2 linked regions of the Callithrix jacchus genome follow. The protein of the gene in region 1 binds, or shares a complex with, the protein of each later gene. Links are inferred from orthologs where the notes say so. Each region holds a gene or a part of one and is shown on either strand. Other genes may lie near its edges.

What was found.
Region 2: MEFV (region 1) and AIM2 share a complex: the UniProt entries of both Homo sapiens proteins name them as parts of the AIM2 PANoptosome complex. The link is inferred for Callithrix jacchus from reciprocal best matches to the Homo sapiens genes MEFV and AIM2.

Annotation. Positions count from the first base shown.
Region 1 is NC_133513.1:5,396,679-5,400,496, reverse strand, and holds part of MEFV (pyrin), read left to right. Parts: intron 1-1,811; coding exon 1,812-2,042; intron 2,043-2,483; coding exon 2,484-2,506; intron 2,507-3,818. UniProt on the Homo sapiens protein: Involved in the regulation of innate immunity and the inflammatory response in response to IFNG/IFN-gamma.
Region 2 is NC_133519.1:19,055,864-19,059,681, reverse strand, and holds part of AIM2 (interferon-inducible protein AIM2), read left to right. Parts: intron 1-1,913; 5' UTR 1,914-1,933; coding exon 1,934-2,195; intron 2,196-3,818. UniProt on the Homo sapiens protein: Sensor component of the AIM2 inflammasome, which mediates inflammasome activation in response to the presence of double-stranded DNA (dsDNA) in the cytosol, leading to subsequent pyroptosis.

The sequences.
Region 1 (3,818 bases):
CCATCCTTCCCTGCGAGGAGGGTGGGAGGAGTGAGCAGGAGTCCCCGAGGTTCTGCTGTGGTTCACAGGGCAGCAGGGATGGCCACCTGCTCTCAGGGGGCAGAGGGGTAACCAGCAGCCACGGGTGAGCTCATCCCTGTAGAGGGAGACCACCCCCAGCAGGCAGGGGTCAACTCTGAGGATCCTGACACGCTTTCTCGTACTCACCACAAGATGGTATAAGGCAGCCTACAAGGGTGACTATCACGGAGAGGCGGGATTGAGGGAAGGGGAGGAGAACACTTTTGTCCTTGAGATGGTGCCTCGCTCTTTCGCCAGGCTGGATGCAGTGGCACGATCTCGGCTCACTGCCACCTCTGCCTCCCGGGTCTAAGCAAATCTCCTGCCTTAGCCTCTTGAGTGGCTGGATTACAGGCGCATACCACCATGCCTGGTTAATTTTTGTATTTTTAGTAGAGACAGGGTTTTGCCATGTTGGCCAGGCTGCTCTCAAACTCCTGACCTCAGATAATCTGCCCTCCTTGGCCTTGCAGAGTGCTGGGATAATAGGCATGAGCCACCATGTCCAGCCAATAACACTTTTAACTGTAAATTCTTTTGAGTGTCTCTGTGTGTGTGTGTGTGTGTCTCTGTGTGTGTGTGTGTGTGTTGTGTGTGTGTGTTGTGTGTGTGTGTTGTGTGTGTGTTGTGTGTGTGTGTTGTGTGTGGTGTGTGTGTGTGTTGTGTGTGTGTGGTGTGTGTGTGTGTGTGTTGTGTGTGTGTGTGTTGTGTGTGTGTGTGTGTGTGTGTGTGTGTTTTTCCAAGACAAAGTCTTGCTCTGTCGCTCAGGCTGGAGTACAGAGATAGAATCTAGGCTTGCTGCAACCTCCACCTTTCAGGTTCAAACAATTCTCCTGCCTCAGCCTCCTAAGCAGCTGAGATTATAGGTGCCTGCCACTGAACCTGGCTCATTTTTGTATTTTCAGTAGAGACAGCGTTTCACCGTTGGCCAGGCTGGTCTCAAACTCCTGACCTCAGGTCATCTACCTGCCTCGGCTCCCAAAGTGCTAGGATTACAGGTGTGAACCACTGGGTCCAGCTGTTTTGTTTGTTTGTTTGTTTGTTTGTTTTGTTTTCTGTTCATTTGTTTGTTTGAGATGGAGTCTCACTCTGTCATCCAGGCTGGAGTGCAGCGGTAGGATCTCGGCTCACGGCAAACCTTCGCCTCCCCAGTCCAAGTGATTCTCCTGCCTTAGTCTCCTGAGTTGCTGGGACTACAGGCATGTGCCACCATGCCCAGCTGTATTTTATCTTTTTAGTAGAGACGGAGTTCCCCATGTTGGCCAGGCTGGTCTCGAACTGCTGACTTCAAGTAATCTGCTTGCCTTGGCCTCCCAAACTGCTGGGATTACAGACATGAGGCACTGGACCCAGCCGAGATTTCCCCATTTTATAAGACGATGTTTATATAGGATTAGGGACCCACTCAACTCCAGTGGGACCACATCTTAACTAACATCTGCAAGAACTCTATCTTCAAAGAAGATCACATTCTGAGGACTGGGGGCTAGGGCTCCAACATATAAATTTCGGAGGGGACACAGATAAGCCATCACACCAGATTTAAGGCCATTTTCCCAGAGCTAGCCCAAGCCATGCTCAGTCTGTTCTGGAAGGTTGCAGCCAATATTGCCTCCTGTTCTGGAATCTAGGCCTCCAAGAGGCAGAAGAAGCCCACCTCTTAGCCACCTTCAGGAGGTGGGCTTCTAGGGGTTCCTGGACATACATGTCCACCCACAGACCCCTGCACCTCCCCATCCTCCACTCCCCAGAAACAAACTGAAATGCTGAAGCAGCGGGTACAGAGGAAGCTGGAGCAGCTGTACCACTTTCTGGAGCAGCAGGAGCATGTTTTTGTGGCCTCACTGGAGGACCTGGGCCAGATGGTTGGGCAGTTCAAGAAGGCATACGACACCCGTGTATCCCGAGACATTGCCCTGCTTGATACGCTAATTGGGGAGCTGGAGGCCAAGCAGTGCCAGTCGGAATGGGAGCTTCTGCAGGTGGGTGCGCCTGGGCCCAGCTTTCTCGGGCTCCCTGTGCCCATCAGGATGCCTAAGGCTCCCAGTTCTGCCATCAGTTCTACCGGAGCCAGTGGATGAGTCCCCTAAGGCCTGATCTTGGTGACCCACAATGCCTCTTGTGCCCAGTCCCCTTTGATGAGGTGTCACAGGAGTCCAGGGTGGCCCAGCATCCAGGGGATCCCTGCCATTGCCCAGAAGGGATTAGCAGGGTTTGAGGGCCATTCCCTTGCAGGCCTTGCTACCTGGGATGCCTGAATTAGAATTGAAGAGACGGGCTCCACTCACTGACACCCCAGGGCAGGGAGCTCCGGTATAAGTGCAGGGGGCAGCTAAACGTCCAGGAGCCCAGGAGTAGAGGCCAGGAATCCGCACAGCCTCTAGGAGCCTGGTAACGAACAGTTTCCTTCTTCTGTCTTCTAGGACTTTGGAGACATCTTGCACAGGTACAGAGCGGTCCCGTGGTGTCCCCTGGGGTGTCTTGCAGGAAACATTTGGTAGAGACAGTCCTAGGACGGACCTGGGAGGGAGACGTTCCCAACTTACGGCGAGGAGTCTGCGACTCCAGACTCCTCTCTTTTTCTGCAGCTTCCCAAAGCCTCTCTGGATCTGCACAGGGAGAAGGGGATCTGGTCAGCAGGCAGGCTGACCAGGTGTGAGGCTGCAGACTGGGAAGGGTGAATTCAGCCTATCCTGTTGAAATGGGATGGAGGCTCCCTAAGAAACCATCTGAGTGGACTGTGTTCTAAGCAACTCACCTTCTGAAAACTGCCCCGCAGGCCTGCTGGTGGCCTTGGAGAGCTTGTTTGGAGTGGAGCTGGGGTAAACCCAGCAGGAAGGGGAGGAAAGGGACAAGAAGAGGCTAGGCCTTAAAATCACTGGGAGCTTTACAAAATCCCAATGTCCTTTTGTGTCTGGCTTCTTCACTTAGCATGATGTCTTCAGGCTTCATCCATGTGTCAGAATTTCTTTCTTTCTTTTTTTTTTTTGAGGCAAGAGTCTCGCACTGTCGCCCAGGCTGGTGTGCAGTGGCTCCATCTCGGCTCACTACAACCTCCGCCTCTCGAGTTCAAGCGATTCTCCTGCCTCACCCTCCCGAGTAGCTGGGCTTATAGGTGCCCACCACCATGACCAGCAAATTTTTTGTATTTTTAGTAGAGTCGGGGTTTCTCCATTTTGGTCTTGAACTCCTGATCTCGAGTGATCCACCTGCCTTGGCCTCCTGAAGTGCTGGGATTACAGGCCTAAGCCACCTCGCCCGGCCATTTTTTTTTTTTTCCCCTGAGACAAGGTCTCACTCCCATTACCCAAGCTGGAGAGCAGGAGCACAGACACAGCTCACTGCAAACTCAACTTCCTGGGCTTAGGTGATTCTCCCACCTTAGCCTCCTGAACAGCTGGGACTACAGGCAAGTGCTACCACTCCTGGCTAATTTTTTGTATTTTTAATGGAGATAGGGTTTCCCTATGTTGCCTAGGCTGGTTTTGAACGCCTGGGCTCGAATGATCCAGCTGCCTTCGCCTCCCGAAGTGCTAGGATTACAGGCGTGAGCCCCTGCACCTGGCCTATTTTCTCCTGTTGTTGCTGTTTTCATAATGGCCATCCTAACGGATGTGAAGTGGTATTTTGTTATATTTTTTCCCCTTAATTATCATTTTTATTTCCATAGAAAGAAAAAAAGACTAGGGAAGTATAATCCATTTGCCATAGATAATTCTGGTAGATAATATCAATGTCACTTTAAGTCCATTCTGAAA
Region 2 (3,818 bases), on another chromosome or scaffold:
CAAACCACCACAGCACGTGTTATACCTATGTAACAAACCCGCACGTAAAGTATAAGAAAAAAAGAAAAATAAAAGAAACCTTCTTCTGCTTCAATGTATGGAGAAATTGTGTTTTATTCAATACCATTACTAGTCTATATAGATAATTAATCCAGCCAGATATATATTTTGTGTATGATGTAAGATAAAGTCTCAGTGTATCATTCCCCATATATTGTCATTTGCCTGAATGCTTTTTATAGTTGTCTATTCTTTCCTTGTGATTTTTAATGACACTTTGATTATATACCATGTTTTAATTTACATGTAGTTCTATTTCCACACTCAATTTGTTGACTTTTCTCTGTGCCACTACCATACTGATTTAATTATCATACATTTGTAGTAAGTATTAATATCTAGTAGTAGGGATAGTATATCCTAAAGAAATATTTAACTTATTTTGCATGTTTTTGTCTTTATTTTTTTCATTTAGGTTTTGTGAGCATCCCGATAATGTCTATAAAAATCCCTTTGAGATTCTGCATGGGAGTTTACAGATTAATTTGACAATATTGCTGTCTTCATTCTATCAATTCTTCCCATTGAAAATAGCACACATACACCCACTTGACTGGGTCTTTTAAATCTCTCGATAAAGTTTTATAAGGTTCCCTTTAAAACTCTTAAATATATTGTATTAGATGTTCTATGTGCTTTGTAGTTTTGTTGCTATTGGAAATTACTATTTTATGTAATATTTTTCTCTCTTGGAGTGGTGCTAGAATAAAGGAATGTATTTCTGCATATTAATCTTCTAGTTAGAAACATTGTTGAATCGTTGTTTATAATATTTTATTATTTTGGTTACTATACATAAACAATCATATTACTACAAGGTTATTCTGGACAAGATATAAAAATAGATCAATGGACAGAAGAAAGAATCCAGAAATAGACCCACTCATATTTGGACAACTGGTTTTTACAAAGATACAAAAAAAAAAGTCTTTAAAGAAAGAACAGTCTCTTTAACATACGCTTCTGGGAAAATTTATATTCATATGAAAAATAAATGAACTTTGAATCATCCCTCACTACATACACAAAATAACTCAAAACAGTGCACACACCCAAATGTAAAATATCAAGCCATAAAATTTTTAGAGGAGAACGTAAAATCTTCTAATCTTGACATGGAAAAGATTTCTTAAATATGACACTGAAAGCACAATCCATGAAAGAAAAAATTGGTTAATTTTACTTCATCAGGTAAATGTATATGCCGAAATTTATCAAAGTGTATACTTCCAATATATGCACTGTGTTGTATGTCAGTTATGCCTCGATAAATCTGTTTTTAAAACAACAGGAAAATGTATTGTTTTCTTTTTTGTGGTTGTTTTTGGTTTTTTTGAGACGGAGTTTCACTCTTGTTGCCCAGGCCGGAGTGCAATGGTGCAATCTTGGCTCACAACAACCTCTGCCTCTTGGGTTCAAGTGATTCTCCTGCCTCAGCCTTCAGAGTAGTTGGGATTACAGGCATCCACCACCACGACTGGCTAATTTTTATATTTTTAGTAGAGATGGGATTTTGCCATATTGGCCAGGCTGGTCTCAAACTCCTGACCTCACGTGATCCGCCCACTTCAGCCTCTCAAAGTTCTGGGATTACAGGCATAAGCTACTGTGCCCAGCTGATATCTCCTGTTTTCTAAGAATTCCAGAGGTGTTGTATACTTTCTGAAAATGTCTTTCCGGGGAATAGTGACTACCTTGCTTAAGAAGTTCTTACCTATGTTCCACTCAAACCTCTTACTACTGTAAACATTTGTTTATTTTTCTTTAAAATATAGTAACAGCTCACCTTGCTTCATTCTGAACATAGAATCACTTTTGGTGGTGTAATCTTCTATGATTTGGACTCCTTACAGGCGGATCCTGAAGTTCTTAGATGGAGAGTAAATATAAGGAGATACTCCTGCTAACGGGCCTGGAGAACATCACTGATGAAGAACTGGAGAGGTTTAAGTTCTTTCTTCCAGATGAGTTTAATATTGCCACAGGCAAACTACATACTGCAAATAGACCACAACTAGCTAACTTGATGATTCAAAATGCTGGTGTGGTGTCTGCAGTAATGAAGACCATTCATATTTTTCAGAAGTTGAATTACATGCTTTTGGCAAAACGTCTTCAGGAAGAGAAGGAGAAAGGTAAAGTGGGATCCTGCCCTGCCCAGTCCCTTTCTTCGCCAAGCCTGGGCCTTTCCTTTTACGGCGTCCCTGGGATATGGCCCCCAGTGCACGTTTGTTGGAATTTGTTTGCTAACTTAGTGCACTTGTCTCTTTGCCTCCTTTTACTGAGAATCACCTCTAGGAAGTGTTTGGTACAAATTCCACAAATCCATTCCATCTTCTGTTGGCATCTCTTGTTCCAACGCTTAGAGTTACCACTTCCATTTATCGTCTTTTCTCTTTGCCTATCTGTCTCCAGTTCAATTGCAGTGAACTTGGATGTAGGATTTCTTTTTCTTTTTTTTTTTTTTGAGACAGAGTTTCGCTCTTGTTACCCAGACTGGAGTGCAATGGCACGATCTCGGCTCACCGCAACCTCTGCCTTCTGGGTTCAGGCAATTCTCCTGCCTCAGCCTCCCGAGTAGCTGGGACTACAGGCACACACCACCATGCCCAGCTAATTTTTGTGTTTTTAGTAGAGACGGGGTTTCACCTTGTTGACCAGGATGGTCTCAATCTCTTGACCTCATGATCCACCCGCCTCGGCCTCCCAAAGTGCTGGGATTATAGGCGTGAGCCACCGCACCTGGCCTTGGATGTAGGATTTCAAAGTTAACATCCCCCAACTCCATTTACACAGTATATAATGCGCTCACATTTTACTGAAGTCATGAAAATATAAATAAATTATTGCAGTGGAAAAGCGTAAACCGGGATATTGAGCACCTTTTCTCCTTCACACAGTCTGTCTATTCCTCTCCTGTCCCCAGCTTTCTGAGGACCCAGAGTATCCTTCTTCAGGGAATAATCTCCTCCTTCTATTAGGGGATTCTCTCTCCTATCTCCAGTACAGGTGGCACTATAAATTACCCACAACACAAAGGTTTTTTACATTATTCAATAAATCACTCATCATCTCCATCTACATTTAGTTTAAATCTCGTTTAAATTTCTGATTTTGTTTGCTAAGAAAATTGATATGTCCCGGCTTTATGTCTGAAGAATAAAAGAGAGGTAACAAAGGAGCATATCATCCAAGGACTCTCCCAAATGAGAGTCTCCAAATGCCACAGTTTTAGGATTCAAAGTACAGCTGTAGGCCGGGAGCAGTGGCTCACGCCTATAATCCCAGTACTTTGGGAGGCCAAGGCGGGTGGATCACGAGGTCAAGAGGTGGAGACCATCCTGGCCAACATGGTGAAACCCCGTCTCTACTAAAAATACAAAAATTAGCTGGGCATGGTGGTAGGTGCCTGTAGTCCCAGCTACTCGGGAGGCTGAGGCAGGAGAATTGCCTGAACCCAGGAGGTGGAGGTTGTGGTGAGCCGAGATCGCACCATTGCACTCCAGCCTGGGTAACAAGAGCGAAACTCAGTCTCAAAAAAAAAAAAGTACAACTATAACAGCAAAAATTACAACAGCTTTTAACAGCATTTGTGAGTGTATAACACGGATGACATCACTTCTCAAACATGACTTATAGGAAGGCTAAATGAAGCCATGAAAGTGATACTATGTACGCTCATAATTCTATACAGATATAAACTGTTTGCTAGTATCTAAGGCACTGAAGAGAAAGGACTGCTTGTTATACATTGTATT